Regions from separate parts of the Mus musculus genome. Here all the other regions are reported to be linked to region 5. Evidence: microRNA targets listed by miRTarBase, many of them from high-throughput screens and not tested one by one. Region 5 holds a microRNA gene; each other region holds the end of a gene's coding sequence. Distances are from middle to middle.

What was found. The annotated mature microRNA mmu-miR-709 reads GGAGGCAGAGGCAGGAGGA and lies in region 5 at 1,347-1,365, shown strand. An mRNA with a match to its seed (bases 2 to 7 or 8) in the 3' UTR can be bound and repressed. Matches are read on the target gene's strand: a 7mer-m8 pairs with bases 2 to 8, a 7mer-A1 pairs with bases 2 to 7 and ends in A, and an 8mer does both.
Region 1: miRTarBase lists Sf3a1 as a target of mmu-miR-709. Seed matches in the 3' UTR shown: 7mer-m8 at 1,784-1,790.
Region 2: miRTarBase lists Slc25a42 as a target of mmu-miR-709. Seed matches in the 3' UTR shown: 7mer-m8 at 2,144-2,150 and 7mer-m8 at 2,138-2,144.
Region 3: miRTarBase lists Il17rd as a target of mmu-miR-709. The part of its 3' UTR that is shown has no 7-base or 8-base seed match.
Region 4: miRTarBase lists Dpy19l1 as a target of mmu-miR-709. The part of its 3' UTR that is shown has no 7-base or 8-base seed match.
Region 6: the mRNA of Afap1 is a reported target of mmu-miR-709. Seed matches in the 3' UTR shown: 7mer-m8 at 2,954-2,960, 7mer-m8 at 2,960-2,966, 7mer-m8 at 3,201-3,207 and 8mer at 3,249-3,256.
Region 7: miRTarBase lists Dqx1 as a target of mmu-miR-709. Seed matches in the 3' UTR shown: 7mer-m8 at 1,260-1,266 and 7mer-m8 at 1,266-1,272.

Annotation. Positions count from the first base shown.
Region 1 is chr11:4,179,636-4,183,711 of GRCm38, forward strand. It overlaps Sf3a1 (splicing factor 3a, subunit 1), which reads left to right. Exons shown (of 16, transcript NM_026175.5): 16 at 399-2,906. The coding sequence ends at 500. Among named protein-coding and RNA genes, the nearest start is that of Tbc1d10a, 5.2 kb to the right of the region's middle.
Region 2 is chr8:70,182,975-70,187,050 of GRCm38, forward strand. It overlaps Slc25a42 (solute carrier family 25, member 42), which reads right to left. Exons shown (of 8, transcript NM_001007570.2): 8 at 1,366-3,802. The coding sequence ends at 3,495. Tmem161a (transmembrane protein 161A) reads left to right here. Exons shown (of 12, transcript NM_145597.4): 12 at 1-707. Among named protein-coding and RNA genes, the nearest start is that of Tmem161a, 13 kb to the left of the region's middle.
Region 3 is chr14:27,100,667-27,104,742 of GRCm38, forward strand. It overlaps Il17rd (interleukin 17 receptor D), which reads left to right. Exons shown (of 13, transcript NM_134437.3): 13 at 611-4,076. The coding sequence ends at 720. Among named protein-coding and RNA genes, the nearest start is that of Il17rd, 64 kb to the left of the region's middle.
Region 4 is chr9:24,410,431-24,414,506 of GRCm38, forward strand. It overlaps Dpy19l1 (dpy-19-like 1 (C. elegans)), which reads right to left. Exons shown (of 23, transcript NM_001359948.1): 22 at 3,808-3,993; 23 at 1,348-2,556. The coding sequence ends at 3,837. Among named protein-coding and RNA genes, the nearest start is that of Dpy19l1, 91 kb to the right of the region's middle.
Region 5 is chr8:84,084,821-84,088,820 of GRCm38, forward strand. Mir709 (microRNA 709) reads left to right here and starts at 1,279; the gene lies at 1,279-1,366. It overlaps Rfx1 (regulatory factor X, 1 (influences HLA class II expression)), which reads left to right. Exons shown (of 21, transcript NM_009055.4): 8 at 753-847; 9 at 2,886-3,252.
Region 6 is chr5:35,999,354-36,003,429 of GRCm38, forward strand. Afap1 (actin filament associated protein 1) reads left to right here. Exons shown (of 17, transcript NM_027373.2): 17 at 346-4,076. The coding sequence ends at 372. Among named protein-coding and RNA genes, the nearest start is that of Gm52811, 84 kb to the right of the region's middle.
Region 7 is chr6:83,065,881-83,069,956 of GRCm38, forward strand. It overlaps Dqx1 (DEAQ RNA-dependent ATPase), which reads left to right. Exons shown (of 12, transcript NM_033606.3): 11 at 210-400; 12 at 553-1,339. The coding sequence ends at 712. Tlx2 (T cell leukemia, homeobox 2) reads right to left here. Exons shown (of 3, transcript NM_009392.2): 1 at 3,800-4,076; 2 at 3,174-3,411; 3 at 2,445-3,094. The coding sequence ends at 2,878. Among named protein-coding and RNA genes, the nearest start is that of Tlx2, 2.3 kb to the right of the region's middle.

The DNA.
Region 1 (4,076 bases), not on the chromosome of region 5:
TGATGGGATCTTAGGCAGCCTGGTTGTTTATGGAGGTGCAAAGGGGTATTCAGGTTTTCTGGGGCTTCCTCTCTTCCTGTGTGAAATAGGGTGTTGAAAAAGATAATCACTAAAGGTCTTTTGACCTGAGAAGTCAGCTGTGCCTTTTAGTTTGGTCATGGCTAATGTTTGGGAAGTTGAAAACTAAACCAAATGTTGACAAAGTTCCTTACTTTGCATCTGTTAGAAAGAAGGAAGGAAAAAGAGATGTTCTAGAAGAAGCCAAAGTTCCATACTTCGCTGACCTTCCCTTAAGCTTCCATAGTAGTGAAGTCTAGAATAGCAGTAAGCTCAGTTGTGTGAGGCTGCATGTGGTCAAAGACAGGTGGTGTCCATTAAGACATTTGTCTGTCTTCCAGGGCATCTTCATCAAGGATTCCAACTCCCTGGCTTACTACAACATGGCCAGTGGTGCTGTCATCCACTTGGCCCTCAAGGAGAGAGGCGGCAGGAAGAAGTAGCAAGAGATACTGCAATTGAAACCTTGCCATTGTACCTCTTTGCACCACCAATTCCAGGAGTGTCCCTGGGGCCTCAGGCACAGCCTGGGCATTTGTTTCCCTCAAAGCCAGTCTACGGAATGAATATCTTGTTTCAATTCTGGATTGGAGGTCCTTCAAGGAAGTCCATTAGAAGTTGAATACCCAGGGTTGTCCCACAGGACAGTTTCACACTATCGAGTGATGCTTAGTTAATAGAATATGGTTAATGCCATTCATCATTTTGTATCATGCTTTGGTTTCTTGAAGCCAGGCATAGTACATGCATGCCTGTGATCCTGGGACTTGGGATGTGTGGGCAGAAGAATTAAATGTTCAATGTTCACCTCGGCTGTATAGCTTGAGGCCAGACTGGGCTGTGTGAGATACTGTGTTTTGGTTTTTTGTTGTTGTTGTTGTTTTTGGTGGGTTTTTTTTTTGTTTTTAATTAAAAACCGAACACTTCTTGGACCTTCATGGAAGCAGTTTGTCCCTGCCATCCACAGACTGGCTTAGAAAGCTCTGCCATTCTTACCTATGCAGGGATAGCTAGTGCACAACAACTCTCCTAAGGACAAGGGTGAAATTCCAAGTCAATTAATAGGGAAACAAATGGATCGCTGAGCTTTGGGGTCTCTGCAGTCTTGATGCTTATAATATGTTTTTGCTGCCATCGTGCCTTTCAAGTACTTCTAAAGCATCGTGGCTGGGGAGATGCCTTGGTGAGTACAGTGCTTACGGTGCAAGAACTGATGTAAGAGCCACTAGAACAAGCCACTGCTACCCTGTGCACTAGGAGACAAGACAGGCAGAGTCATCCTAGCAGGCCAGTGAATGAGAAAGACCTGGAAGGCAAGGGTGAACACCTATGGCTGTCTTCTGGTCTCCATGTGTTTGCCGCAGCATGGCTTTATAGAGATACGCACGTTCTATATTTGTACGTTTTATATTTGTAAAGCTTCAGGACCCTCCACCATGCAGTAGCCATAGAACAAGGATCAGTAGCTTTTTCCATACCTCAAATCGCCCATCACTTGATAGGCATAGCAGTTTTAGTGGTTTGCTCTAGGGTGGGCAAAGGCCGTTCATTACTATGTGTGTGGTTAATTATGCCAAATCCACATACTGACCTAAGGGCCTTGTATCTAGTTTACTACTACTGTGTTGTATTTGGTATTTTTGTTTTTCTTTGGTTTTGTTATAGCTCCACTGGAACTTGCTATATAGGTTAGGCTGGTTTTGAACACATTGAGGTCAGCCTGCTTCTGCCTCCCAAGTGCTGGAATTAAAGGCATGGACCGGCAAGCTTGACACTGCTTCCTGTTGAAGCACTTGTGTAGCACCTGTGGAGTCCTTGTGTGATTATTCTTGTTCGAGGTACTTAGGGCAAGTCACATGCCCTCCATCCCATGGCTCAGAGATGAAGAGTAAATCCAAAACATGTGCCTCGCTCTTGGTCACTAACTGCTGTCCTGATGTGGGTTATTATTTTTGGAGTTGTGGTCTTGTGGAGGCATGGGTGGTGTTGCTGTGTGTATTCAGAGGGAGGGGAGAGTGGAGAGTGTGTTGATAAGCTGTAAACAAAGCTGGTTTCTTTTTGGAGGACTGCATGTGCTGAAAGCTTCAGAGTTCCCAGTCCAGAAGCAGTATTCTAACTCCCAGCCCCTCCACCTTTTCCTTTCTCAGCCGAGGCCTCTACAGCACCAGTCACTTGGCTCCATTACACATTGTTAGGCGCACATTTAAGATCATTGATGTCATGCTAGTCTGTACCCCTGTGTGACTTGGCCTAGGAACTAGTGCAAAATTTGGTTTGTTGGTGTGCTTTTCTGGTTTAGGAGCCTGAAACAAGCACACTGTGCTAGAGACTAGTTGGGTAGCACCAGAAATCCCCTGGAGGGATTTCCAGGAGGAGGAGGGGGTACTGTTGTATGGGAGGAGCATCAGGAAGTCTCAGAGAATCCATGCCTAAGAGCTCCTTTTTGGTATTAAGGACATGGCATTATGTCAGGGCATATGCCTCTATAGATTGGCAAACCCCACAGTGCCTCTATGGCTGAGGCTGTGACATGAGACCAAGAATGTGACTGGGTAGAATGCAAGTGAATGGGCCCTTTGATCCAGGCTCGGGAGCTAACAGTTCCCAGAATTCCTGAATGAGTGCCTGTCCTGACTCACATTCACTTGGAGGCTCATTGACCACAGAGCCTTGTGACCTTTGGTGGCCACAGACCAAGATTGTTTTCTAGCACTGCATGTCCTACAGTCTTGTAAGTTTAAAAAGTGCTTATCCAAATGTAAGTTTTAACATTTTTATAAAAATAAGTTGTTCTATTAAAAAATAAGTATCATTTTTATATGTATTATGTATAAATTACTTTGGTCATACGCCCTCCATTATCCTCATCTTTTCCTAGCAAACACTTCTTTCCAACAAGTTTCCTCATGTTTGTGTCTGTGTGGTGTGTGTGTCCCACTGCATCTAATTAGGGTTGTTTATTTGATCAAGGCTAACTAATGGCTATACCACTAAAGAATATACCTTCCTCTTCCCAGCATCTGTTACCTACCTGTAGGTCTTCAAGGAGGGTAGTACCTTAGGGTTACCCCACTATCATCTCCCGTCCATGATGTTAAGTCCAGTTTCCTGCAGGCAGGCCTGGTGCTATGAATCCATAGGTACAACAGCCATATCATGATGAGCTCCGTTGACTACAAACAGTGCTGATAGATTGTTGCTTTCAGAGGACCTTAGTTCCCAGCATCCATGTCAGGTGGGTCACAACACATAATATACACATACATAGGGGAAAGAAAAAAAAAAACTTTAGAAGTGTTCTGGAGTTTAAAGAAATTAGCATTGAGAAGTAGAGAGATACTTCAGTTGTGAGAATGCTTACCAAATAAGCATGTGAACTTGAATTAGGGGGCCTACACCATACAAAATGGAGTCACATCACACCGTATGTTACCTCAGCACTGGGGGACAGAGACACAAAGATCCCGGGAGCTGAATTGCTGAGTTCATTGAAAGACTAGTTCAGAGAATAAGGTGGAGTGTAATTGAGGGAGACCTTGCCATTTCGTGGCTTTTCACACACCCATATGCACCTGTGTACACACATGTACCCTGACACACACCAAATGTGCCTTTCTTGTTTCGAGGCTTAAGAAGCAAATAACTGACATCTCTATTCTTTCAATGACTTTGCACAAGGACACATACTAATTTAGGACAGCCGTGAAAGTGTGCCATGGTTGAAACTGTTAACTCCACTGCTATCCCTGTAGGCTATGGTGGGGAACAAGACAAACATGAACTTGGAAGTTGTGAACACTTATTACCTGTGCCCACTGTTTACTGGGAATTACCAAGTATCAAGTGCTTAAGAACATGTCACACTAAAATCTCAAAATAAAGTTTGTTTTTTTTTTTCCTAGTATTTCATTTTACTGATGAGGAAATAGTCTAAAAGAAGCTGGGCATGCTAGTTCCAGCTCTTTGAATGTGATTAAGCAGGGCAATTGTTTGAGCCCAGGAGTTGGAAGGCAGCCCAA
Region 2 (4,076 bases), 14 Mb from region 5:
CTGTGAACACAGGTGCTGTGAACACAGGTGCTGTGTATGATACAATAGGTCCATGTGTGAGAGCAGGGATCAGAGGACAACTTAGCATGTAGATCCTAGCCTTCTACTATGAGACAGGGTCTCTTGTTTACCTGAGTCCCTCAGGTCAGCTGTCCAACAGGCTCCAGGGAGTCTCTGGTTTCTGCTTCCCACCTTGCTTGTAGGAGTGCTAGGATTATAGACTAGTGCTGCTGTCCCACTTTATGTGGGCTCTGGGGACTTGAACTCAGGTCTTCATGACTGCAGCAAATATGGCTGACGTGTGTGTTATGAATCAACAGGATGTCCTTGAAGGGCTATCTGGAGTCCCTGCCTCCCAAACTGACCCTGACAAGGGCTGCAGGACCTTGTGGAAGTCTCATGGGAATCAGGGATGCCCATGCTCTGCTGTGGATTTCAGAGTGTAGGGGCACACGACGTACAGGGCCCCACCTCCTTCAGCTACATGGCTCAGGGCTGACTGGGCCTGAGCTGTGTTTCAGAGCAAGGTCCTTAGGCTTCTGGCCGATGCCCATTTGCTGAGCATGATGGAGTATAGCTGATGACTCCAGAGGTAGTTGGGCCAGCCAGTGCTATGCAAGAACTAGAAGCCAGCATGGATTATATTTCTCAGATATTAAATAAATCCGAGCCATGTTGTTGGCAGATTTAGCTACATGGTTACTGTATTCCTGGATCCTTATCTTTTTTGTACTGGCAAAAAAACCCCAGGGTCTTTTGTATAGTAAGTGCTCCACCCTTGAGCCACGCCCCCAGCCCCTCACTGGGGGATTCTAGGCTGGGACTCTACTGCCCCAGTCTAATGTTCCATCTTTGGCCATCAATTTCATCCCCAGTAGCCTGTGTCACATTTACATCTATGAACAGAAAGTTGCACAGAGCACTTGGACAACACACCTGCAATCCTCAGCTCTCTTTCACAAGGATGGGGGGGGGGGCTGGAGAGATGGCTCAGAGTGAAGAGCACCGGCTGCTCCTGCTGATGATCCAGTTGTGCGAGCACCCCATGTGATCATCTGTAAGTCTAGACTAAGGATCTGCTGGCCTCCTCCGGCACTAGGCCTGCACAGTTATGCAAAGCACCCATACACAAAATGCCTTTTTAAAGTAGCAAATAGTGGCCATGCAGTGGTGCTGTACACCTCTAACCCCAGCACCCGGGAGGCAGAGCAGAGAGGCTAGCCTGGTCTACAGAGCAAGTTCCAGGACAGCCAGGGCTACACCGAGAAACCTTATCTAGAAAAATTAAAAACAAAAGTGCTAAGTAGCTTGACCCCGTTCATAGAGTGGGAGGTGGAGCCAGAGTTGAAGAAGTAAGAAGCAGGAGATATTTAAAATTTTATTAAATATACTCTGTTGGCACAAATCTTCAAAATATATAAACATTATATATAAACAAAGTGTCTTTATGGCATCAAAATAGAACTCCAGACTGGACAGTGACCACGGAGGAGGGCAGCCACAGAGCTACTGGACAGTGACCATGGGGGAGGGCAGCCACAGAGCTACTGGGGGGATATGGGGAAGCAAGAAGATCAGGGACCCAGGACACCCTCACTTCTCCTGCCCTGCTGGTTGCCTGATGCAGGGCTCAAGCCAACCATCTACATGGTGCAACCTGCTGAGGTGACCCAGGAGCCTCAGTCACCTCCGGCCTCCTGGTAAGGGATGCCTAGACTCTCCATCCCAGGTGGGGAAGGGAGTGGCAGTACACTCACGAGAGGACAGTCCCTCTCAGCCACCAGAGGCTGCCGGGGGGGGGGGGTGTCTGGGGACATGGTGGGGATGGCCCATCACTATCCGCGGAGGCTGAGAGATGGCCAAGCGTCACAGGCACAAGGTAAGAAATATAGAATGAACAAAGACTGCAGCAAGAATTGCAAATGCCCAGGGCTCGAGCCACCCTGCTCAGGTCCTGCATGTGAGATGGCTGCCATCCAGCTGTGGGAATCAACACCCAGATCACCTCTGAGCCAGAGCCACATTGCATAGGAAGGGTAGGGGTTTTATGTGCAGACCTGGGGCAGGATAAGTTGAAAACTAGAAACTAAAGGTAGGTGGGGCAGTGGTGGCGCACGCCTTTAATCCCAGCACTTGGGAGGCAGAGGCAGGTAGATTTCTGAGTTTGAGGCCAGCCTGGTCTACAGAGTGAGTTCCAGGACAGCCAGGGCTATACAGAAACCCTGTCTCGGGAAAATAAAATGAGAGAGAGAGAGAGAGACAGAGAGAGAGAGACAGAGACAGAGAGAGAGACAGAGACAGAGAGAGAGAGAGAGACAGAGAGAGAGAGAGAGAGAGAGAGAGAGAGAGAGAGAGAGAGAGAGAGAGAGAGAGAGAGAGAGAGGAAGGAAGGGAGAGAAAGAAAAAAAAAGAAAAGAAAAGAGAGTAAAGGCAGGAGGGCTGCTCTAAGTTGAAGGCTAGCCCAGATAACACTCAGAAGCAGGACAGCCAGGGCTTCTGGCTAGGACTGTCTCAAAGACCCTAAATCAAGAACCCCAGACACCAGGAAAGGCAAGAGTTTCCTGTGACACCTAGGGAACCCAGTGTGTGGGGGGGTTCTCCTTGTGTCAGCTGGCTGGTGGTCCCTGGATACCCCAGCCTTTCCCTGCTCCCCAGGTCATGGATACATCTGTACTCATTCACACAGGAAAAGCCACCCACCCATCTTTGGGCTTCATGTGGCCTGGCTAGATGACAGCCACAGAAGGCAGTTTCAAGAGCTTGAGCCCTACCTCCATGGATGCTGTGCATATAAGAAGCTTTGGGCCTGCATTCGGCCTGATTGGTGTACTTTGGAAGACACCCCAGATCAGTGATACCCACATGGGCATTTCCAGTGGGGTCTGAACTTGACACCCCTGTCTGGTGGCCATAGGGCCTCCTGGAAAGGTACAAGCCAGGTAGTTGGCAATGGTCAGGTGCAGCCCTCGGAAATAGGATGGGCACAGTGCTCTGGGGAGAAAGCTATGTGGGCAAGAGCAGCCATTTGTCACCTGGGAGAGGATAGGCAGGCATGGTGGAGGATTGAGGAACACAGGTATAGCCACCACTGAGCAAACTGTGACCCTCCAGTGTGTGGCTTAAAAGGAATTGCTATCACATCTGCAGGCCAGGCACGGTCATAGCAAGAAGGGATGGGCTCTGAGCCCCGGGTGCCAATGGGCACTAGATCAGCAGCAGGTCAGAGGACACAGGGCCAGGAAGTGCAATTGACCCATTAGGGGCCTTTGGGTAACACCTCAGGAGACTCACCAGCCAATAGCAAGGAACTGAAGGGAGGGGACAGCCAAGATCCATCATCACAATGTCACACCCTGAGGACCAGCACTTCGCTATGGGCCCTACAGCCCCAAGTCAGGTCCCGTCCTCCTGCCCACCCTCAAGGTACCACAGGGCTGCGAGCACACAGCTGCATGCCCCTGCTCGAACAGCTCACCATCCACTGTTGTGTTAGCCTAGCTCTGCAGCCGGCGCAGCAGGATCTGCATGAGGTCGAAAGTGGTGAAGCTGATCCCCACGGCAATTGGGCCCTTCAGCCAGTTCATGCTCAGGCCCTTGTAGAGGCCCCGCACCGCGCCCTCCTCACGTACAATGGAGCGTAGTGTGCTCAGGATGGAGCCGTGCTGGTGGCCCGTGACACCTGCTGTCTGCATGCGCCGCCGCACCACGTCCAGAGGGTAGGAGGCCGATTGCCCGATAAGGCCAGCACAGGCCCCGAAGACCATGCGCTCAAAGGGGTAGGGCTGCGGGCGGCCACTGTACTCTGCAGGGCAGAGGGCACATGAGTGCCACACTTGAAGAAACTAAGGCCCCGCTTCCTGGCCACCCTTTCTTAGTTTTGATGCTGGGAATGGGACCCACATCCTAGCCTAACACAACACACACTTTGCAGCAGTGAGACTTACACGGTGGCCCAGGCTATCTATGTAGTAGTTTCCCCTCACCTATTGGGTACAGGTCCCCATTCTGCAGTTTTCAGTGCCCCATCATCTGTGGGGATGAATCCCAAGATTCTCCATGGATGCCTGGACCCTTAG
Region 3 (4,076 bases), not on the chromosome of region 5:
AAAAAATTAATGTTTATTTTCTGTGTGTGTACACACATGGGAATAGGGGCTGGGTGTGGCACGTGCAGGCACATGCAGATAGAAGGATACCTTTTGGGAGTAGAGCCCCTCCCACCATGGGGTCTCGAGGGTTAAGCTCCAGTTGTCAGTAGGGTTGGCAGTCTCCTAACTCTGAAAAGATTGGAATACTAAATGCATGTGTTGGATAAGGGTCTGTGGGATTGTGCCCTTCTGGGAGCTGAAGTGTTTGCTGCCTTTTATCTTTCCACCGCCTTTGAAGCCCAGATGTCTATTAAACCGTATGTTCATGAACACTGTATTCTTCTCAGTGCTAGCTTCACACAGTGCTCCGGGAAGGAGGGCTCTTCCCCAGAGAGCCTCAGGAATCCACCACACCTATAAGTTCTTGGAGTCACACATGTAAAACTTTGGCTCTAACGGAGGGATCTCTCTTCCTCTGGTAAGAGGTTGAGAGTATTACTCTGAGCTGGTTCCGATGCCTGCCTCATTTGTGCAACACACAAGAGCGAATCCCAGCCATGTGGTGGCACTGGGGGTCTGGGTCAGTAAAGTGTACTGATTGTGGCTCTGTCCTTTCTTCTCTCCTTAGGTGAGGAGGACCCCCCTACCCTCCCTTCCAAGCTCCTTGCCTCTGGGGTGTCCAGAGAACATGGTTGCCACAGCCACACTGACGAACTGCAAGCGCTTGCTCCTTTGTAAGGACTCGGAAGAGTCTAAGCATCGCCACTTTAGCTGCTGATCTCTCTGGCTCCCCAGTTCACCTCTGTGGTTGTGCAGCCTACTTGGAGCTGAAGGCGCACACGGGGATATCTGGAATGAAATTCTGGCTAGCACTCGATCTGTTCTGCTCCAGCCTTCTAAGGGATACTTAGCAAAGTCTCCAGTTTCCCAAAAGCATATGGAACCCTGAAAGGCATGTCCATTAGATCTGACTGCAGCTGTCCATCTCAGACTGATCCTTGGATCTGAGCCTGCTCTGAGAGGGGTAGAGTGGAAACAGGTAACGAGAAATAGGAAAGCTCCCACACAGCCTGCTCTGGCTTCACTTGAACTCTGGCTACTTAAACTCAAAATGCTTTGTGGAAAAGCCCTCTCGGCATCCTTACAGCTTACTTACCCATGTCAAGTACTGCTGGGACCCAGGCTGCGCTGCAGGTCATGTTTCTGTCCATTTTGATGTGGAACTTACACTGTCCTGAGTGTTAAGTAAACCTTGAGTCCAAGGTCCAGACAATGATTGAACATTCATCCAGTCACGTTTTGTAAAACAGCTCTCTCTCTCTTACTGGGAAACATGACCAACCAGGACAGAATCCTGTGGGGCTGGACCATCTTGTTTGTCCTACGTGAAACTGGCTGATTAATGTGCAGACGTTGTCAGGACCTGGGCGTTTTCCCTGCATCGAGGTAGCCATCTCATGGGAGCCTTAGCCATCTGTTTAGTTTCTCCCTGGGCTACATTTACTGCTCTGTAGCTCGGGTGGTGACGGCTGGACGTGGAGGACTGCTATCCATTACTCAGCTGGGCAGCAACATTATTAGAATCGTGGTTTGTATTTTGGCTGGTGCCGTGTCTTGAATTTTAGAGGTCAGAATCCACTAATACTCGTCAGTGTACGGGAGACGGTGGCCAGTTAATCTGCTGGTTTTGACAAGTGACAAACCTCCTTTTCAGAAGGCAGAAAGGAGGGGATTGTTACAAAAGTAAATGTTCTATTTTTATGAATGAATCTTGTACAGAAATTCTGTTTCCAAAGGTAAACCATCTCTTCCTATCCTGTACCTTAATTAGATGTATATAACGATGAGTCTGTCTCCCCCTTAGAAACCTTTATCCCTTGCTCTGGCTCACTTGGTTTGAGCATCCTTCTCCACTGTTAGCATGGGTGCTGTTGGATTTTGGCAGCCTATCTTCTCAGCATTCTGTTACGAACCATTGATTTTTCTTACTACTCCACCAGATTGGACCAGCATTAAGGGGGTTGCTGAGAAAGATCCCAAGGTCAGGTGTGGAGGTGAGATGAGCCGGGGATTTCCCTTCTAGGCACCTTTGCAGTGGGGTGGGGGGTGGGGGAAGGGAGCCCTTAGTTCCTGCTGAGAAGAAGCGGTTTGTGTGCATTTTGGATGGAAACACCCTTCTCCCTGCTCTGCACAGGCAGCTGGCAGCTTCTCAGGAGAGCGTGCTCCACATGTTCTCTAGCAGAGAACAGAGCAGCTGCTCTGGGCAAGCTGTGAGCTGGTCTCGCAGTAAAACCAGGCATCTCTGCAGAGGAGTTCACGCCATATTATCACTGTGGAATCCAGACTGAGCAGACAGAGCTCCCACCTCCATGAGGCTCTCCTGGCCGTGCTCAGTCTTGGCATTCATTCTGTGAGGGAGATTGGTGGGCCTAAATTGCTAATGTATGACCGTTCCCTGGGAACATCATCAGAGAATGTTTTTCTCTTTTTAAATTGAGGCCAAGAAATATTTTATCCCCCCCCCCAAAGAGCCATTAGAAACCACATTTCGGATAGATACTGAGCTTTGCATGTGGAGTGTGGGGTCCCTGAGAGTGCCCAGGAGCAGCATGGGGCCCTGGGTGGAGGAGGGCTTAGCTTCACTGGATCCCAGGCCCAGGCTCGATGCATGAACTCAGATGAGGAAACTGGAGGGCAGCCCTGTGAGCCATCTAGCTTGCTAGTCCAAAAAGTCAGAGTCAGGTGAAGTTTTGTTTGTGTTTAGCCATTGGGTGACTTTATTTTGACATACAAGTGTTTTTGATCAGAAGAGAGAGCCAGATTCTAACGTGCCAGGTGATGGTTTCTTAGCCCTGAAGGAGCAGATAGTGGGCGGAGCCATAGTATTAGCCAGCCTCTTTCCCATACACCTCATCGTTGAGCCAGGAATGAGAATGGCCTTGCAGATTAAGGCAAGGTGCCAGTTCTGACAAGGCACAAGCTTTTTGATGCTAACGGGAGATGGGGTTGGGGCTGAGAGTGAATGGTTTGTGGGGAAATAGACCAGGTCCTTTGCGGGGGAGGGGGGCAAAGGTGAGACGGGTGTGAGGGGGGCTAGGGTACCAGGAAACCAAGAAAGAAAGTTGTTGACCTGTGTTTATGCGTGCCCTACAGGTGCTTCTCATGCATCTGGCCCAGAGGTGAGTCAGAAATGTAGCTCACCTGCCCTTGAAGCGCAGACCTACCCAGCCATTGTGGCTCATGTTGCTAATTTTCTTGACAACCTTTAGTGGTAGGTCCTCTGACTTTATATAAGTAACTAAATAGGAAGCTGTTCCCCCAAAAGTGTGGGGTTGCAGGAGCTTTTCAGAGGAAGAGGGAAGCTGTGTTATTCCTGGAGCCAAAATGACACACCCTCACTCCAGACAGAAAGGGAAATAGGAAGTCCCTAGCTACCCCGACACAAGAGAACACTCCGCTGGTACTGGGGAAAGGTAGGCAATGCCAACGTGGAGATTTCTAGTCTTTTTAAAAATCTTCCATCACTGGGCATGGCTGCTGGTAATTGGCAAAGTTTGTGTTTTCTGGGGCACCTGTATACCCCGGCATAAGGAAAACAGTAACATAGCACCTTGAAGAGAGACATCAGGGCGTGGCACCGACTGGGGCAAACCAAGGCACCCTTGTCCAGCCTTCAGCAGTGTTTCCTGGGCTTCTTGGTTTTCAAGAAAAGCTGAGGATGTCTCATTTTGAAGCTGTCAATGCCTAGCGCTGGCAAGACAGCTCAGAAAGTACAAGCATTTCTGAAACAAACCCAGACAACGTACCCACAGTGGAAGGCGTGAAGCAACCCTGTCCCAAAGTTGTCTTCTTTGGCTTCCTCATGCTGGCTGTGATGCTCACAGATACCGGGGTGTGTGTGTGTGTGTGTGTACGTGGGTGTGCACGAGTGCAACACCAAAACCACATGCAACAACAACAACAAACAACAACAAAAGCTAAATATTAGCAATTAAGCTTTGGAAACTACTTAAATGAACCCAGGACCAATAGAACATGTAGATAGATCTAATTTTGCCCAGTGGCTGCCAGGTTGTGAATTCTGCTTTGTAAGA
Region 4 (4,076 bases), not on the chromosome of region 5:
ATGAAACGGGATAGTGTACAAAGACTGTAAGAGACAGGATTGGTACAATGTGGAACACAATCTTCAGGACCTAGCAAGGTTGCTGCCATCTTCAACTTTTGGCAGTTGTCATCACTGATAAAACTCACACATGACTGGACCCACCAACAGTATGTCATGGGGTGGGGTGCGAGGGCTCACAGGACACACCTCTCCCAGATTATTACTTATAAGCAATTAGCAATTGCTAGGGGAAGGGCCCCACCCATCCTTGAAGATCAACAGGCAGTTAATAGGCTGCCAGAGGGATACTTTCTTCAGCCTTTAGCAGCTGATAAACTCTCCCTACTCTGTAATCAAGCCCTCACCCATGTAACCTGCAACAACATGCAAACCTGTAACAACCCTAAGTAAATCTGCTGGGACACACACACACACACACACACGGGCACAGATACAAATAAGACAAAAAATAAGAGGGGTCTTCGGGAATAGGAAGGTGATCAGTGAGAGTGGGAGGGGACAAGAGAAGGCAATGGAGGGGTGAAACTGACCCAAACATATTCAGGTATGAAAATGTCATAATGAAGCCCATCATACATAACTACACTAATAAAAATGTAAATCTTGGGGTCCCCATCTAGATCAGCCAAGTGAGAAGCTTGGCAAATTTCCAGGTTTTATGGGTACTTCTTATGGCCACTAGCTTGTGAATTAGCATATCAGAGCACCATTCTCCAAAGATGTCAGAAGCAAAGTGCAGCTTTGTCAGAAAGTCAGTTCTACGATGGGCGGTGGTAACACATGGCTTTAATCCCATCAGACTAAGGCAGTCAAACTGCTGAGTTCCAGGCCAGACTGGTCTACAGATTAGTGCCAGAGCTATGCATAGAGAAACCATGTTGAAAAACAAACAAATGAACAAACAAATCTAACAACAATGACAACAAAACAAAAGAAAAAAGTAAGTTAGTTTCTATATGGGTGAACACAGCTAAACTGCCTTCCCTAAACAGCAAAAGCAATAATGCACAAATAAATGTACTATAACTTGGGGAATCTTTTACAACAAATGGTCTTTGGTGTAATGTATGAGAAAAGCTGTTAGCAACTCTGTAATTATACCAATACATATGTCCCTTGATGAAAAGGACAAAGGAACGTGTGGCTTTGACCATAAATACCATACCATTTTGGATGATTCGAGCCCCTACCATCAACAATGGGCCCCAGGTTGTTACCTTTCCCCATTTTAGCGAAGACTGCAAGAGGATGTCGATCAGCTCACGGCCGTCTGACTACAGATGGGAATGTGCGCAGCCACAGATGGGTGCAGAGAACAGTAGCAGGCAGAAAACACATGGCACATTTTTCATGTTTTTTTTTTTTATTTAACATATATAGTACATGTAAACAAGGGGCATAAAATTCATAAAAATACAACACTCCTGTGCAGGATCGCTTTAGCTCAGACACATCCTTTTGTCTTCTCATCCATGCTGCTGGCCTACCAGAACAGCACACACTCTGACAGGCATTTTAGAGGTTTAGCTTTTAATGGACATATTACCCAGCTTATTTTTTGTTTAATGTCACAATAATAACTATTCAACTGCCTTCTGTCTTTCTTTCCTTTTCTCACACTAAAGCAAAAATATTTGTAAATGCTAAAAATATGCAAAATACTGAGCTTTAATACTGCATTGTCAGCTACATAAAATCTAATACTGCTCCATGTTGCCATAAAAGTGTTTCCGCCACACTGCTACTAGATGTGCTGGACTGAGAATGCAGTGGGCCCCAAGGCCGCATTTCCAAGCTGACTTGACTAAATACAAGCAAAGCTTGCTGCTGGAGTTACATTACGACATACTGTTTGTTACAAAAGGTTTCTGCAAAAAAACCTAATTTAGACTACTTTTAATGTTTCCCAGCATGTGAACTGGCTCTAACAGTATTTTAATGTTTTGTTTCTCTGTACAGAATTTCCAATCATTACATGTGAACTTATTATGAAGGGAATTGTTAGAGGGTAAGGACAGAAAATAACTTTTAAAGGGTGATAAAAAAAAAAAACCCTAACTGCTGTATCCACACAGCAGCCATATTGGGCTGCAGAAGAGCTGCGGAGCAGGCAGGGCATGTGTCCCTCACTCCCATGCCTGCCCCTTTCTTTACATTGCCCTGCATTGCCACACTATCACTCAAACACCCCTAAACCATGACCTCCAGTTGCTCCCCTATTTTCGGAGTTCGTAAAAGCTTGGGAACTAAAACTAAGCATCAGATGAGGAAGCCTGGCCACAGTCTGCAACAGTGGGAATGGCAGTCCCCGGGCAGCTTCAGGGAGGGAGGCCCTGGCTGGTGAGGCTGGCTCCTTACTGAGGCCACACTCCTCAGTTGCAAGTGCTGTCTTTGCAGGTGACCAATGTCCCCCAGACAAGCTTGTCCTTCGGCTCTGGGAAGAAGGCAGAAAGAACAGCTCTTCCTTCCGTGGCTGTCAGGACTGGAGTGGGCACCGGAAGCCATCCCTGAGGGTTCAGGTCTCAAGGACAATCCACACTGAGGTTAATCTGCCTGTGGTTAATAAAGAGAAGACTGTATAAAAAATGGGTAGTCAGCCATGGTCACAGTTTACTTAGAATTTAAAACCTCAAAACCATTACTTGCAACAATGAAGATTATAGTTTTGAAGTATCTCATTTCACACAAATTAACTTTCAAGAAACAAAATTTGTATAAGAAATTCAAAGCAAGTTTAGGAATTTTTCAAAAAAAAAAAACAAGAAAAAAATGGGAAAGACTGAGAGCATACTCACTCTACACACTGAATTTTTTTTTTTTTGAGGCAAAATTATAAGGCTTAAGGCTTTGTCTTATTAAAGATAGGCAATTTTGAAAGCAAAATAAAAGACTCTATTCATCTCATTTACATTAACAGAGGTTACTTAGGTTTTATTTTATTCTAATAGTGAAGGTAAAATTAGCAAAGACTACAGTCCACCACAAGCTATGTCTCTCTCTCTCTCTCTCTCCCCCCTCTCTCCATATGTACATATATATCAAGCTATAGATGCATCATATTTGAGTTTGTCCAAAATAGTTTTTCCTAACAGCGTAATTAATCATAAAATTTTTTAAATGAATTAAAGGTATTAAAATATAATATTTGATTAATACTAAAAATGAGAAAAATACACAATTACTAATTTTTTAACCAAGAATAAGCACTTGCTAATCAACCTAAAGACAAGACAGTATTTATGTGGAAAAGAAACCAGCCTGCGTGGGGAGAAACACACAGCACATAGCTGGAAACTTAAGGAACTGGTCCTCGCCACCATACCCAGGAGTCTGGGTAACAACAGGCAGGAAACACTTGATTCACGAGAGCAACAAACAACAAAAGGAGCACCCGGAAGCGAGGTGAACAGGTGACCCACAGGCCAACCACGCCTGGACTGAGAGCTGAGACAGTGTTCAAAGATAAGATCAGGAGGTAAATAGGAAGCAAGGTGCTAACAGGCCCCTATCAGTCCAGAAGTGACTGTAGTTTCATATCATCTGTCATGACCCATGATGTATTTCTAAACAGATGGCTTTGTTCACCATAACACAAATATTTAAACCAAGTACACACATATACTCATTTGCATAGCAAATTTTAACAGGTGCAGTGAAACAGTAACTAATCGATCTGATGTAAGCCATTTTACAGTCAGACTGACAAACTGACCAAATCAAATGTTTGCCATTCGAAACAGTTACTTTCAAAGACTTTCTAAAGGTTTGCGCTCTGAGTTAGTGGCAAAGCAGTAAAGCCATTACTGGTGCGTCTCTGGCAGATGCACGTGCAGTCACTGTCTGAGAACTTCTAGGACTTTGTAAACACTGTTCTGGAACACTGTGGTAAAGTGAGGCTTGGAATCCTTCACCAAGATGTTGCACAGGGGAGTTTTCCCAGCGTTGTCTGGATCCTCTACATCCCAGATTTCAGGCATGCTGCATCCAGGCCTAGGGAAGTAGCACAGTTTAAGGTCAATGCACATTATCCAAGTGGAGATAGCACAGCAGTGTCTATACTTCTTGTCTCATCA
Region 5 (4,000 bases):
GCCCGAGCCAGCCCCGACCTGAGGGTCAGGATCCACAGAATGCCCCAGGTGCTAGTGTTCGGCACCGCCCTCAAAGTAGGTGGCGGCGGACAGCGGAGGCACGGCAGGGGGCGGAGGGCGGGCAGGGGAAGGGCATTCAGCCCAGCAAGCCGCTTTGCCTCGCCTTCAAGTCCAGGCTCCCAGGCTTCGCCCCTGCAACCCAAGGCGGGTGGGGTGAGATGTCTTTACCCTGTCCCCCAAAGTGCTGCCAGTCATTCTTGTTCTGCCTCAGGGACTGGGTCCCAGACACGGCTCCTGCAAACCAGGGTTGGGGGTGGAGGTAGGCTATCCAGTACCTGCCCCTAAGGTGTTGTCAGTTGTTTCTAGTTGTTCTATCAACTGATCCCTCTTCAGGCTCCACCCCTAATCTGCTTGGGAAACCTTTTTGGTTTCCAGAAAACCCCCAGGCCCGGTTTTTAGATTGCAAACCCACCTCTCAAGCCCATTGCAGAATTCTGTCTGGTATCCCCTCCTTTGCTCATAAGCCTTAGAAACCTCTTTGCCAAAGCAGAGAATCCCAGCACCTCCTGTTTTCCAGCCACAACTGAGACCTGGCCCCACCTAAGCCTCCTACCTAAGCCTCCCACCTCTGGCCCATGTTGTTCAGAAAACCATGATGTGCAACCTTCTAGATGGGGATGTATGTGGGCATCAGTGAACCCGTGGGTGGTGGTCAGCCCTGACCCATGACCCTGCTTTTCCTCCTGCTTCAGGTACAGCAACTCCCTCAGGTGCCTGTCCCACACGTGTATTCCAGCCAGGTGCAGTACGTGGAAGGTGGCGATGCCAGCTACACAGCCAGCGCCATGTAAGTGGGCAGAGGGTGGAAGGAGGGCTCAGATGTGGTTAGGGCCACAATTCTAACTCCCAGCTGGCCCCCAAGGCTCAGGTGATAGCCCCACACCTGTGGGGTGCCAGGAATATAGGCAGCTGGTAGCAGAAGAGACACTGGCCCATTGGGAAGGCACCTCCACAAATTAGGAGCTGTGCAGTTAGATGGATCTGGATTTTAGGCAGGAAAAGGGGAAAGAAAAAGCATACATATATGTATTTATACATACATTTTTACAACATAAACTTTTTTTGAGACAATGTCTCTCTGTATAGCCCTCACTGCCCTGGAACTTGATCTGTAGACCAGGGTAGCCTTGAACTCAGAGATTTGCCTGACACTTCCTCTCTCGTGCTGGAACCACAGGTTCTCAATCTGACCCTCAGTGTCCCACAGAGTAATTAGTGTGTCCCGTTTCTCTGCTTCTACTCAGAAGTGCTCTGAGCATAGAACTGTCCTGTTTGAGCAGCACTGGGGAGGCAGAGGCAGGAGGATTGTCTTTTGTTATATTGACTTATGTGTGGGGAGAGTGCATGTGCTGTGGTGCAGGTGGAGATCAGAGAACAACCTAGAGGAGTCCGTTTTCTCTCTCCTTTACACAGGTTGCAGGGGCAAATCCAGTTCCTCGGGCTTGCATATTCTGTCTTACAATTTTTCTTGGGGGTTAGGGAGATAAATCAGTAAATGGCTTGCTTCTTGCTTATCAGACCTGAGAAGCAAGGTCATGACCTGAGGTCAGAACTCAAGTACTAGGTAAGAGGTTCATGTGGTGAGTCTCTGACCCCAGAGCCACCTTGCTGGCCCTCGTGTGTGTGTGTGTGTGTGTGTGTGTGTGTGTGTGTGTGTGTGTGTGTGTGTGTGTGTGTGTGTATACACATGTGTTCGAGTGTGTGCATGGGATGATGGGGGGGGGTTGTATGCACCATGTATTGAGCGTAGTGCCAATGCTAACACTGGAGTCTGTTTGCTGTGTGGCTTTGGGGATCAACCCCAGGTCTTCGGTCTTGATGGCAAACATCCCCACCCACTGAGCCACCTGCAAGGCTCAAGTTTTCCTGCTTTAATCACTGTCACATTGGGAGGGCTCAAAGAGCAAAAGTGAGAGGTGGCCCTGCCTGTCCCCTCCCCACAGAGAGCCTTCTGCCTACACACAGGGTGGTCTTTTCCTCATCCCAACCTCTCGTTTCTGGCTGTCCATCGGTACCCAGTGGAGGACTCAAGGCAATCATGTTGCGTCTCCTCTTCCTGCCTCACCCCCTCTAGTCTGCAGCCTGCAGAGATGGGCCCAAATGTTAGGGTGGCTTGCTTGCTACAGTTGCCCCTCTTAGATCTGCGGCTTATTACCCTATGCGGCACTCAGGACATATTCTGAGTTGGAGGGGCAGCTCCCTGCCAGGAAGAGGTAGCCAAGGCGGCCCCTCTGCCTACCCTGCAGTCCTTTGTACTTTGCCTTCCCTCCTGTATCTCCCTTCCCTGGACTGAGAACTGTTTGTCGTTGTTGCCGAGGAAGTACGTTCTGCATTCTGGACCCTGTCTTGTTTTCTCCTCTTCTGCAGTAAGGAAATTGATTCCTGTGCTGGAGTGCAGTGGTTCAGTACCAGTGAGTGCTGTGGCTCAGTACCAGTGAGGAGAGTGATTCCTGTGCTGGAGTGCTGTGGCTCAGTGCCCAGCGAGGGCTGGTTCAATGGCTCAGCAGTGCTTGCTGCCGGGCTTTACAGTCTGAGTTCAGTCTCCAGGACCCACAGTGGAAGGAGAGCCCCGCCTCCCACAAGTTGTCTCTGACCTTTGTGTGTATGCCACGGAACACATGTGCCCCTCTCCAAGTAATAAGTTAATATAAAGACATGTTTTAGAAAACAAGAAAGTGGTTGCCCATCCAGTGCTCAGGCTGTCCCCAGTCCCTTATATGTGAAGGTGCCACACTGGTGTTTCTGTGGCTTCTCTGGTCCTCTCCTGGAACCCCTGCCTCCTTGTACAAGGTGGTGACCATTGCTTCCTGTCTGCTTCTTGGCAGCCGCTCTAGCACCTACCAGTACCCGGAGACGCCTATCTACACGCAGACGGCAGGCACCAGCTACTATGAGGCTTCGGGCACGGCTGCCCAGGTCAGCACGCCGGCTACTTCCCAGACGGTGGCCAGCAGCGGCTCAGTGCCCATGTATGTGTCCGGCAGCCCAATTGTCGCCAGCTCATCCAGCAGCGAGGCTGGGGCCAGCAACAGCAGTGTGGGTGCAGGGGGCAATGGGGGAGGCGGCAGCAGTGGTGGTGGCAGTGGCGGCAGCAGCGGCAGCGGAGCAGGCACCTACGTGATCCAAGGCGGCTACATGCTAGGCAATGCCAGCCAGTCTTACTCCCACACCACCCGTGCCTCACCAGCCACAGTAAGTGTTCGCCTTATTCAGAGGTGAGGGTGGGGGGAACACTCGAGAAAAAAACCTGGCAGTACTCAGAGAGCAGAAGTTTGGCCCAAGGCATAGCTCAGTGATAGTGCTCATATGACCTAGGGCCTGGTCTCATCTGTGGTGTTGCCTTAGGTGTTGCTCAGCCACTCTGTACCTCAGCTGCTATGTGAAGCTCTGAGGACAGTTGCAGAAATGCCCTTAGTCAGAACTGGTGGTGGCTTGATAGGAAATGAGAGATGGGAGCTCCTACAATCACAGTGGCAGAGCTGAAGTCAGCCCAAGTTGGGCCCATTATCAGTCAGGACCATGGATCAGGTCAGAACACTGCACCCTCCACATGGCAGCACACCCTGGCTGCTGGTCTTCACTAGTTTAGTCTATTTAATAAACCACTGCTGCAAACCTTCTGATTTCTCAACCCTGTGGGTCCTCTGGTGCAGCGAGCAGGTCTGCTGAGAAGGTGCACGTTGTTTGTGCCTGGACTAGACGCCTCTCACCTCGGTTACTGTTGCACCCAGGTGGCTAAGGTCCCTGAGGATCTGTGTTGTGGGCTTTTCCTTTTTCAGTTTTATTTGAAAGACTTATAGGCTCACAGGAAGCTATAAATATGGTACCAAACCCTGGTTGGGTGGCACGTGCTTGTGTGACCCCGGCACTGGGGAGGCAGAAGCATGAGTGGGTGTGAGGCTCCAGAGTTCCGAGCTGGTGAGGGGTACCCAGCGTAGCC
Region 6 (4,076 bases), not on the chromosome of region 5:
TTGTCCCAGATGCATACTATGATTCTGTTTGTTTCTGTGAACTTGACTGCCTCGGGCTTCCATGTTAATAGACTCAGAGGATATGTAGTCCTTACTCACATGATATCCCAGCAGTCAGCTCTCCCTTCCCGGTTCTGCCTGCTAAGTGTCCCATGTCTGGAGGGGCCACACTTAACCTACTTACTCCTGTTGGGTATTTGGATTGGGTTTCTCTCTGGCTGGCTACTACATTCTGTTCTCTGTGGCTGAGCCCGGACATTGTGTAGCTCTCAAAGGCTCATGGGCCATAGCAACTCGTGGTAGCCAGGATCAAACTGTCTGCGTTCACACATCTCTCTTCTCCAGGAGTGGGAGCTGAAGAATGGGACATAGAGGGAGCCCAGCCACGCCCAGAGACTGTGTACTGCCACCAGCCTCGCGTGTGACACGTGTGCCTCCCAGAGTGGCCTGAACATGACCACAGAAGTTTGGACGAGTCTGACGCTGACCCTTGGCTGGCTTGCGTGCACGCTTTCTACTGTATGACGGTGCCCTTTAGGAAAGTTTACTTTAAAACTTTGGTGTCCAAATTTACTTGTTAAGAAGCAGAAATGAAAGGGGTTGACAAGCTGTTTTGAGGTGCCCTCTAGCAGATGGGGCGGTTCTGGGGATCTCAGCTCAGCTCCAGCCCATGGACCGTGCACCCCTGTGAGACAGGGTGGCCTGAGCCTTCCCCGTGTGCGGTCAGAGCTGCGTACCTCACCCTGTTTGCCAGAGGGTCCTACTCTGCAGCAGCATGAGCTCCTGTGTCTCTGCACACCCCGCCCCCTCCCGCCTGTCCCCTGTCAATGGAGGTGAAGCCATGAGAAATAGGGCTGTGAAGATTCAGTTTTGGTTTTGGACAAAAATCTTTTGTCACCAGGATAGAGAAGTTGTCATTCTTTTTACCAGTGTTTTTTCATGTTTGCTTTTAAAGAAAATGCCTCTCCCCTCCTCCTTTTTTTTTTTTTTTCTTTTTTTTTCTTCATGTGCTATGCTTGGACATTAGGGACTTTTCAGAGACCCTGTTTCCTCCCAGTTTATGATGTACTTTGAGAGTCAGCACAGAGCTTTCAGTCGTTGGGTAGCATGTGCCCCTTTCTCCTGGCCTGAGACCCCAGCTTCCTGGGTTGCCGGGCAGGAACTCCTCAGCCCAGGAAGCACATTGGCCACCATCTGCCTGTGGATTTAACAGAGTGGGGTCTAGAACCTATAGTTTAACCTGGGCCATCTTTGAACAGAGACGATCCTTCCAGAGCACCTTCCTCCAGTTACAGTTGAAGCTGTGCATCATGGATGCACTCCCATGCTGAGGTTCGGATTGTGCGGGCCCTCCCACTCTCCTGCGCTCACCCCTGTGCACTTGGTAGGACAGTTCAGCTGCTTAGGATGTGCTGTCTACAGCTCATGGGGCTAGCCTCTACCCTAGGGGGTTGAGTGTCAAACTGGCGTTTTGGACTTCCCTGTAACAGTCCAAACCTTTCCACCATGGGTAGATGCAGGCAGTGACCTGGAAGTTAGGCATCTCTGCAGACTTGTACAGGACCAGTTATACATGGGTGAGAACCTGGTGATGCTGTACCAAGGGCACGCCTTCCCATCACAGCCCAGAATGTCCTTAGCACACACATAAGGAGTCTCCCAGGCTCTCCGTAGTGGTGCCTTTAGGGTCTTCTCTGGGCAGCCTTCATGGCCATGATTGATGCTCTGTGCTTGAGCCCTGAAGCAGCTACCTTGGAGTCACCAAAGAGCAGCAAGGTGGCCACCAGGGTATAGGGACATCACAGTGTACATGGAAGCTGCTTAGCTGAAAGTCTGTCCCAGACTAGCCCAGTGTAAGACACTTGCCAGCTGTCTAATGGTGCTTTGCTCTAGTGCCTTCCTCCAAAGGGCAGTTAGGATTCCTCATACCAGCATCTGTGTGGGCTAGTTTCTGCCAGGAAACTGTGTAGGACCAGGATGAGGGATGCAGCCTCCACACACGCCAGCCTGTTCATGGAGCCCCTTGGGTCATCACAGGGAGCTGTGACCATTCCATGCTCTGAAAGGGAAGAGACGTTAATGTGCCGTAGACTTCTGCTGCTTTGGGTCTCAGAGCAGTGCTTTTGGCCACTCTGATAGCAGCCTGCTTTGCCAGGAAAGCTGTTCCAGGCTTTGATTGTTACCAAAACAAGGAGAAAATGTCCAGTTTAACAGCCAACCCTGGCCAGCATAGAGGGACACAGTGAAGTATCATGTCCAGCAAATAAGCCTCAGATGAGTTTATCCTGATGAAGACACAGCAGGTTCTAGGCTCCTGGTGTTCCTAATTTGTGCTGAAAAACCCAGCCTTGTCATCCATTCAACTGTGGAGGAACTGTAAGTTCCTCAGCGCCATATAAAGTAGGTCCCGGGGAAGGTAAGGCTCCCAACACAGGGCTCCAACATCCTGGGCTCCCATTAATGTTCTTAGATTTGGTCAGAAAGCTAGTTGAGAGAGCATTTGTTTCAAAATAAGTTATTTATTTGTATATGTTCAATAAATAGAGTTTTAATTTATATATGTACATATTAGGCACCCATGATCCTGTCAGGATTCTCAGTGTTCTCATTCTATGACCCTCCCAAAGCCACTAGCATGACCCCAGCCATCGATGACACAGGTTTGCCTTGTGTGGAGCCCGGTAAGCAGAGGGCTGAACCCTTTTTGTGAGCAATCAGGTCCTCTGGATCATGGGAGTTGCTCCTCCTCTCTTTGTCTGAGGCCACAATGTTTCTAGGGGTCTACTTTTTGTTACAATTTGGCAAGTTGTCATCAGCTTTCACAAACCCCTCTACTTTTTTTTTATTTATTTATCCCCCCACCCCACACACACACAAAGGGTTTCTCTGTGTAGTCCCGGCTGTCCTGGAACTCACTCTGTAGACCAAGCTAGCCTCAAACTCAAAAATCCGCCTGCCTCTGCCTCCCAAGTGCTGGGATTAAAGGCGTGCACCACCACCGTCAGGCAAACCCCTCTACTTTTATGCCCGTTTACTAACTAACCATTTGCTTACAAATATCCTGCTGGCCTGGGGACTTGCTATGGTCCCTATCTTGGGCATGGGGGTGGGACCCTCAGTGTCACACAATCTCATTTACCAGTGTTCTTGCAATGATGAGCTTGGGTCACATGGACTCTTCCAGAATGCTTGCTGCTCCCCTGCCTCGTGTGTCAGTGTCCAGTCCCTTCCCCATGCATGCCTTGGTCCTGCCTCACCCACCCTTCCTCCTCATCTGTCCACTACCCCAATTTTGGCTGTTTCTGTGTCCGCATGTCCATGCTGATGGGACTTTTAGAAAATCTGCTTTGGAAAGCAATGTCCCAGGCCCTGAGGCCATGGAGGAAGGTTTCTGCTATGTGGGGGACTGCAGTTCCCAGGTAGAATTCACCAGCAGGCAGCAGCAGGGGTGTCTCTGGCCTCTCCTCCCAAAGGCCAGGGACAGCCTCCCCTGTCACTGACCTCCACCCTGTGCTCTGGGGATACTTGAGCCAAGTCATTTACATCTACTCTCACCAGCACCTGCAAGGTCCATTCTATGGGTGAGGCAACATCAAAATGAGTGATCTTCCTCTCCATTTTTCTTTTCTAAAGTAATTTTGAGTCAGAAACATTTCAAATTCATGACATAGTTTTTATAGAAGCAATTGAATGTCTGGGTCTTCTTCCCACTGACTTACTACTAGTCACACCAGAGAGCTGGGTTTCTACTGTGAAATAAACTGAAAATAACCCCCCTGTGCTGTACGCACACCGCCCAGCCCCATGGCCATGGTCCTGGCGTGGGAAGCCCACTCCTCAGTTTTGAGGAATACCCTTTGCCAGTAGGGGGGGACACACCACTGTGGTCTCTGGAAACCTGGGTTTCCCACACGCCAGATTGGATTAGCCTTTCAAAGTGGTGTCTTTAGTTCATAATTCATAGGGACCAAAGCTGTTTTTAATATGATAATTGATTTTCTAACAAAGGTTTACTCTACATTCTAACACCAGTTTTTTGTTTTTTTTTTTTACATTCTAGATATTCCAAATCAATT
Region 7 (4,076 bases), not on the chromosome of region 5:
TCTTTTTAAAGGCAGCAAACAATGAGACAAGGTCTCATGTTGTCCAAGCTGGCTTCAGACTCTCTAAATACCTCAGGCTGGCCTCTAACTTCTGCTCCTCTGGCTCCCAGATGCTGGGATTCCTGCCACGCCCAACCTTGGCCTTCTTTATTTTCTGTGCTCCATTGCTTATTTTACTTATTCCACCCATGTTTTTGTGTTTCAATGAGGTGGCCCGAGACACAGATGGGACAGGAAATTATCTGCTTCTCACCCATAAACACGTAGCCCAGCTGTCTCCATACTGCAGCTACCGAAACCGCAGGACTCCAGCCCAGCCACCCACGTGGGTGCTGTACCACAGCTTCTCCATCTCGAAAGACAACTGCCTTTGCATTGTCTCTGAGATCCAGCCTGAGATGTGAGTTTCCCTCACTCATACAGGGCCCTTCTTCTCCCAGGGCCAGGAACCAAACTGGGGAGTGAGATGTAGGAAGAGGGTTGGTGGAAGCAGGGCGGGGAGTGAGGGGCAGGGGAAGGCACAGATGATCCCATCCTGACTTTCTCTGTCAGGCTGGTGGAGCTCGCCCCTCCATACTTCCTGAGTAACTTGCCCCCCAGTGAGAGCAGAGACCTCTTGAACCAGCTGAGAGAAGGAACAGCAGAGCCACCAGCAGCAGCGACTGAAACTTCCTCTCCCCAGGAGTATGGAGATGGCTGTGTTCTGCAGTGAGCTAACTGCCTAAGGAATGGAGCCAAACCTCATCAGAGAGCGCCAAGGCAGTCAGACTTAGAGACCCAAAGTGTAGGGTCAGATATACTCCTGGAACCCAAGAGCCAAGAACTGTTAGGAGTGGGGGAAGAGAGCGCCACAGTTCAGAACAAGCATACTTTTCTTCTCTGTCCATGGACATGGGAGCAGATGCCACTCACCCCACCCATGCGGCGCCTCACACAACCTTGTCTCCTTGGTGAGACTATAAAAGACTTTGGTGGGGGGTGGAGAGATGGCTCAGGGGTTAAGAGCACTCACTGACTGCTCTTCCAGAGGTCATGAGTTCAATTCCCAGCAACCACATGGTGGCTCATGACCATCTGTAATTGGATCCAGTACCCTCTTCTGGTGTGTCAGCTACAGTGTGCTCATATACATTAAATAAATAAATCTTTTTTTTTTTTTTTTTTTTTTTTGGTTTTACGAGACAGGGTTTCTCTGTGTAGCCCTGGCTGTCCTGGAACTCACTCTGTAGACCAGGTTAGCCTCGAACTCAGAAATTCACCTGCCTCTGCCTCCCAAGTGCTGGGATTAAAGGCATGTGCCACCATGCCCATCTAAATAAATCTTTTTTTTAAAAAATGATTTTTCTATGATGCCAAGTTTGATTTTTAGTTCTGTAGTGCCATATACAACATCCATGAGTCAGAGGTGACACAAAAGGAAAGGCCGACTTCTGCAGGTGCAGCCTCCTGCCTGCCTCCGCCCAAGCCTCTGTGCTGCTATATCTGTCCCTAGCACAGAGCATCCGTGACCTGGCTACCACAGGTCTGTGTCCCGTCACAGTGTTCTAGCCTCTGCCAGGAACAAGAGGGGGACAGTGGAGTGAGGCGAAATCTCCCTGTTAAGCCAGAGAGCTTTGTAACCATCCTCCACTTAACCAAAAGCCTGCGCCCTCTGACTCACCTACAGTCTGCAGTCTCTCTAATTTTTCATTATAGTTTGTGTGTGTGTGTGTACACCCACAACACATGTGCAGTGGTCAGAGGATAGTTTGTAGAAATCAGTTTTCTTCCACAAACTTGCCCCTAGGGCTCAAACTCAGATTGTCAGGATTACTGCAAGTGCCATCTCCTAAGAACATTCCAACTTAAAGCCGCCATCCTTCACTTCTCCCTAACTCTTTCCCTTCTGCCCTTAGTCTACTCGAATTTCTGAATCCACCACCATCCTGCACATCATAAATGTGTTTGTAGAATACTGTGGAAAGAAAGGCTCAATCCATGTAACTCCCCAGAGTTCCCTGTGCCTTCCCGCCTTTACCAGGAGATCTTAGACCCAAAATTTCATCTGTCTCCACCCCCTGTGATGTCATGGAGATTCCCCCAAAGGCAGGCATTAGCATTTTTTTCTCTCTCTCTAAATCTAACATTAGTTTTGCCTACTGTTAATCTTGCCCCCAGTTTCCCCTTCCTGGCCTACACATCTCCAGTCTTAAGGTCATCTTTGGTTCTTCTTAGGTTTGCTAGTCCCAAAGCATGTCTCTTGCTCACTCTAACACTGGGCCCATGAATTCTCCACCGGCTCCCCATCTTGGCTCTCTGACCCTGCATGGCACGGGAGTCAGGTTCTCTTTCTAGAGTGTATCTTCTGGGTATATAAGAATCTATCTTACCTATAGCATAAGTGCGTTAAAACTCAAGATGGAGAGTCCGCAGATTGGGCAGGAGACAACTGGAGACTGAGGCTAGAAGGAATCCTTAGTTATTGTTTTACAGATGAGGGACGAGGTCCCTGTCACAGTAGGCCACATTCTCTACTGCCAGCGCCTCTTCCATTACCCCTCCCCCGCTGTCCTTTGATATCTGCCTTTACACCAGCTCTGTGGTCCCTTCCCAGCAGGACCTGAGCTCTGAGCCCACTCAGGGCAAAGTCGCAGCCTTGCAGGGTCCCTGCTTCATCCACAATCCTGCAGGTTGCTCTTGCAACCCACATCTCAGCGGGGTTTTTTTTTTTAAACAAAACAAAACAAAACCTTGAAGGGCGGAGTCAGAGTGTGGGCCAGGGGCCACTGATGACCAAAGAGCCTCAGAGGACGGCCGCGGGCCGCGGGCCTTCTGCTCCTCACTCTTCGCTGGCGGTACGGCACCCGGCCACGTTGGCGCTCGTCGGGCAGGTGTCGGTCACACCACCGAGGCGAGCCCGGACACCGAAGCCACCTTGTTGTCTTCCGCCCAGGGCTGCAGATTCTGCAGCGCGAAGAGCGACGAGTTGTGCAGGCAAAGCGGGTCCGGTGGCAGCGGTGGCCGCAGCGGCCGGGGCAGCGCGTCTTGCTGCAGGTGCAGCAGCAGGCGACCAGCGCGGTGCCGCTCGGCCTCGCGCTCCTCCGCGGTCTGGCGCCTGGGCGAGCGGAGAGCCGGGGTCAGCGGGCGTCCCGGTCCTACCCCGCCACTCGGCCCGCCCGCGCCCCGCGCCTCACCGCCACTTGGTGCGTCGGTTCTGGAACCAGGTCTTGACCTGCGCGTCCGTCATGCGCAGGGCCTTGGCCAGCGCCGCCCTCTCTGCGGAGGCCAGGTACTTCTGGCGCAAGAAGCGGCGCTCCAGCTCCAGCACCTGCGAGCGGGAAAAGGAGGTGCGCGGCTTCTTGCGCTTCGGGGGGGTCCGGTTTTGGTAGGGATGGCCTATGCGACGTGTCCCAGAGAAGGGCGAGAGCGCAGCTACGGGACGGAAGAGCAGGGCAATGTTTGGGGGTAGTCCGAGGTGAGACTGAGAAGAGAGTCCCTAGTCCTTATCGGGGTTCCTCCCCCAACCACAGAAGCCTCATCAAGAAAGGGCTTAGGAAGAATCGGGGTCCTCCCAAACTTCACCCTGCCCCTCCTCGCCGTAGGCACGGTGGGACTGCAGAGGCAGGGGTGCATGCACCCGACGACAGCAGCTCTCTCCTTACTGCCTCTCTGCTGTGGGACCGAGAACTGTGGGGTCGGGGAGGGTCCACGCGGATGAACAGAGGGGAGAGATAACCGGGCAATGGGGTTGGAGCAGAAAATGGAGAAGCAAAGAAATGGGGTCGCGGGGGAAGGACACCGAGGGGTAGGGCAATCTCACCCGTGAGCCTGTCCTTTGCAAAGCGGCGGCCGCTGTCCATCCAGGGGAAGGTGAGTCCCGCTAGGCCCCCGGCGCCACCCAAACCAGAGGGTCCGGGCACGGCGGGGGCCGCACCCGAGGGTGGCGGCACGGGCAGCGGGCGGTGCGCGGGGACGCGGATCACGCCGCCGGGGCCCACTCCCGAGCCTCTAGGCAAGGAGGCCAGCGAGCCGGCTGGAGCATAGCCCGAGGCTCCGTGGAATCCACTGGAAAACGCCGCACTTTCTCCGTGGCTCTG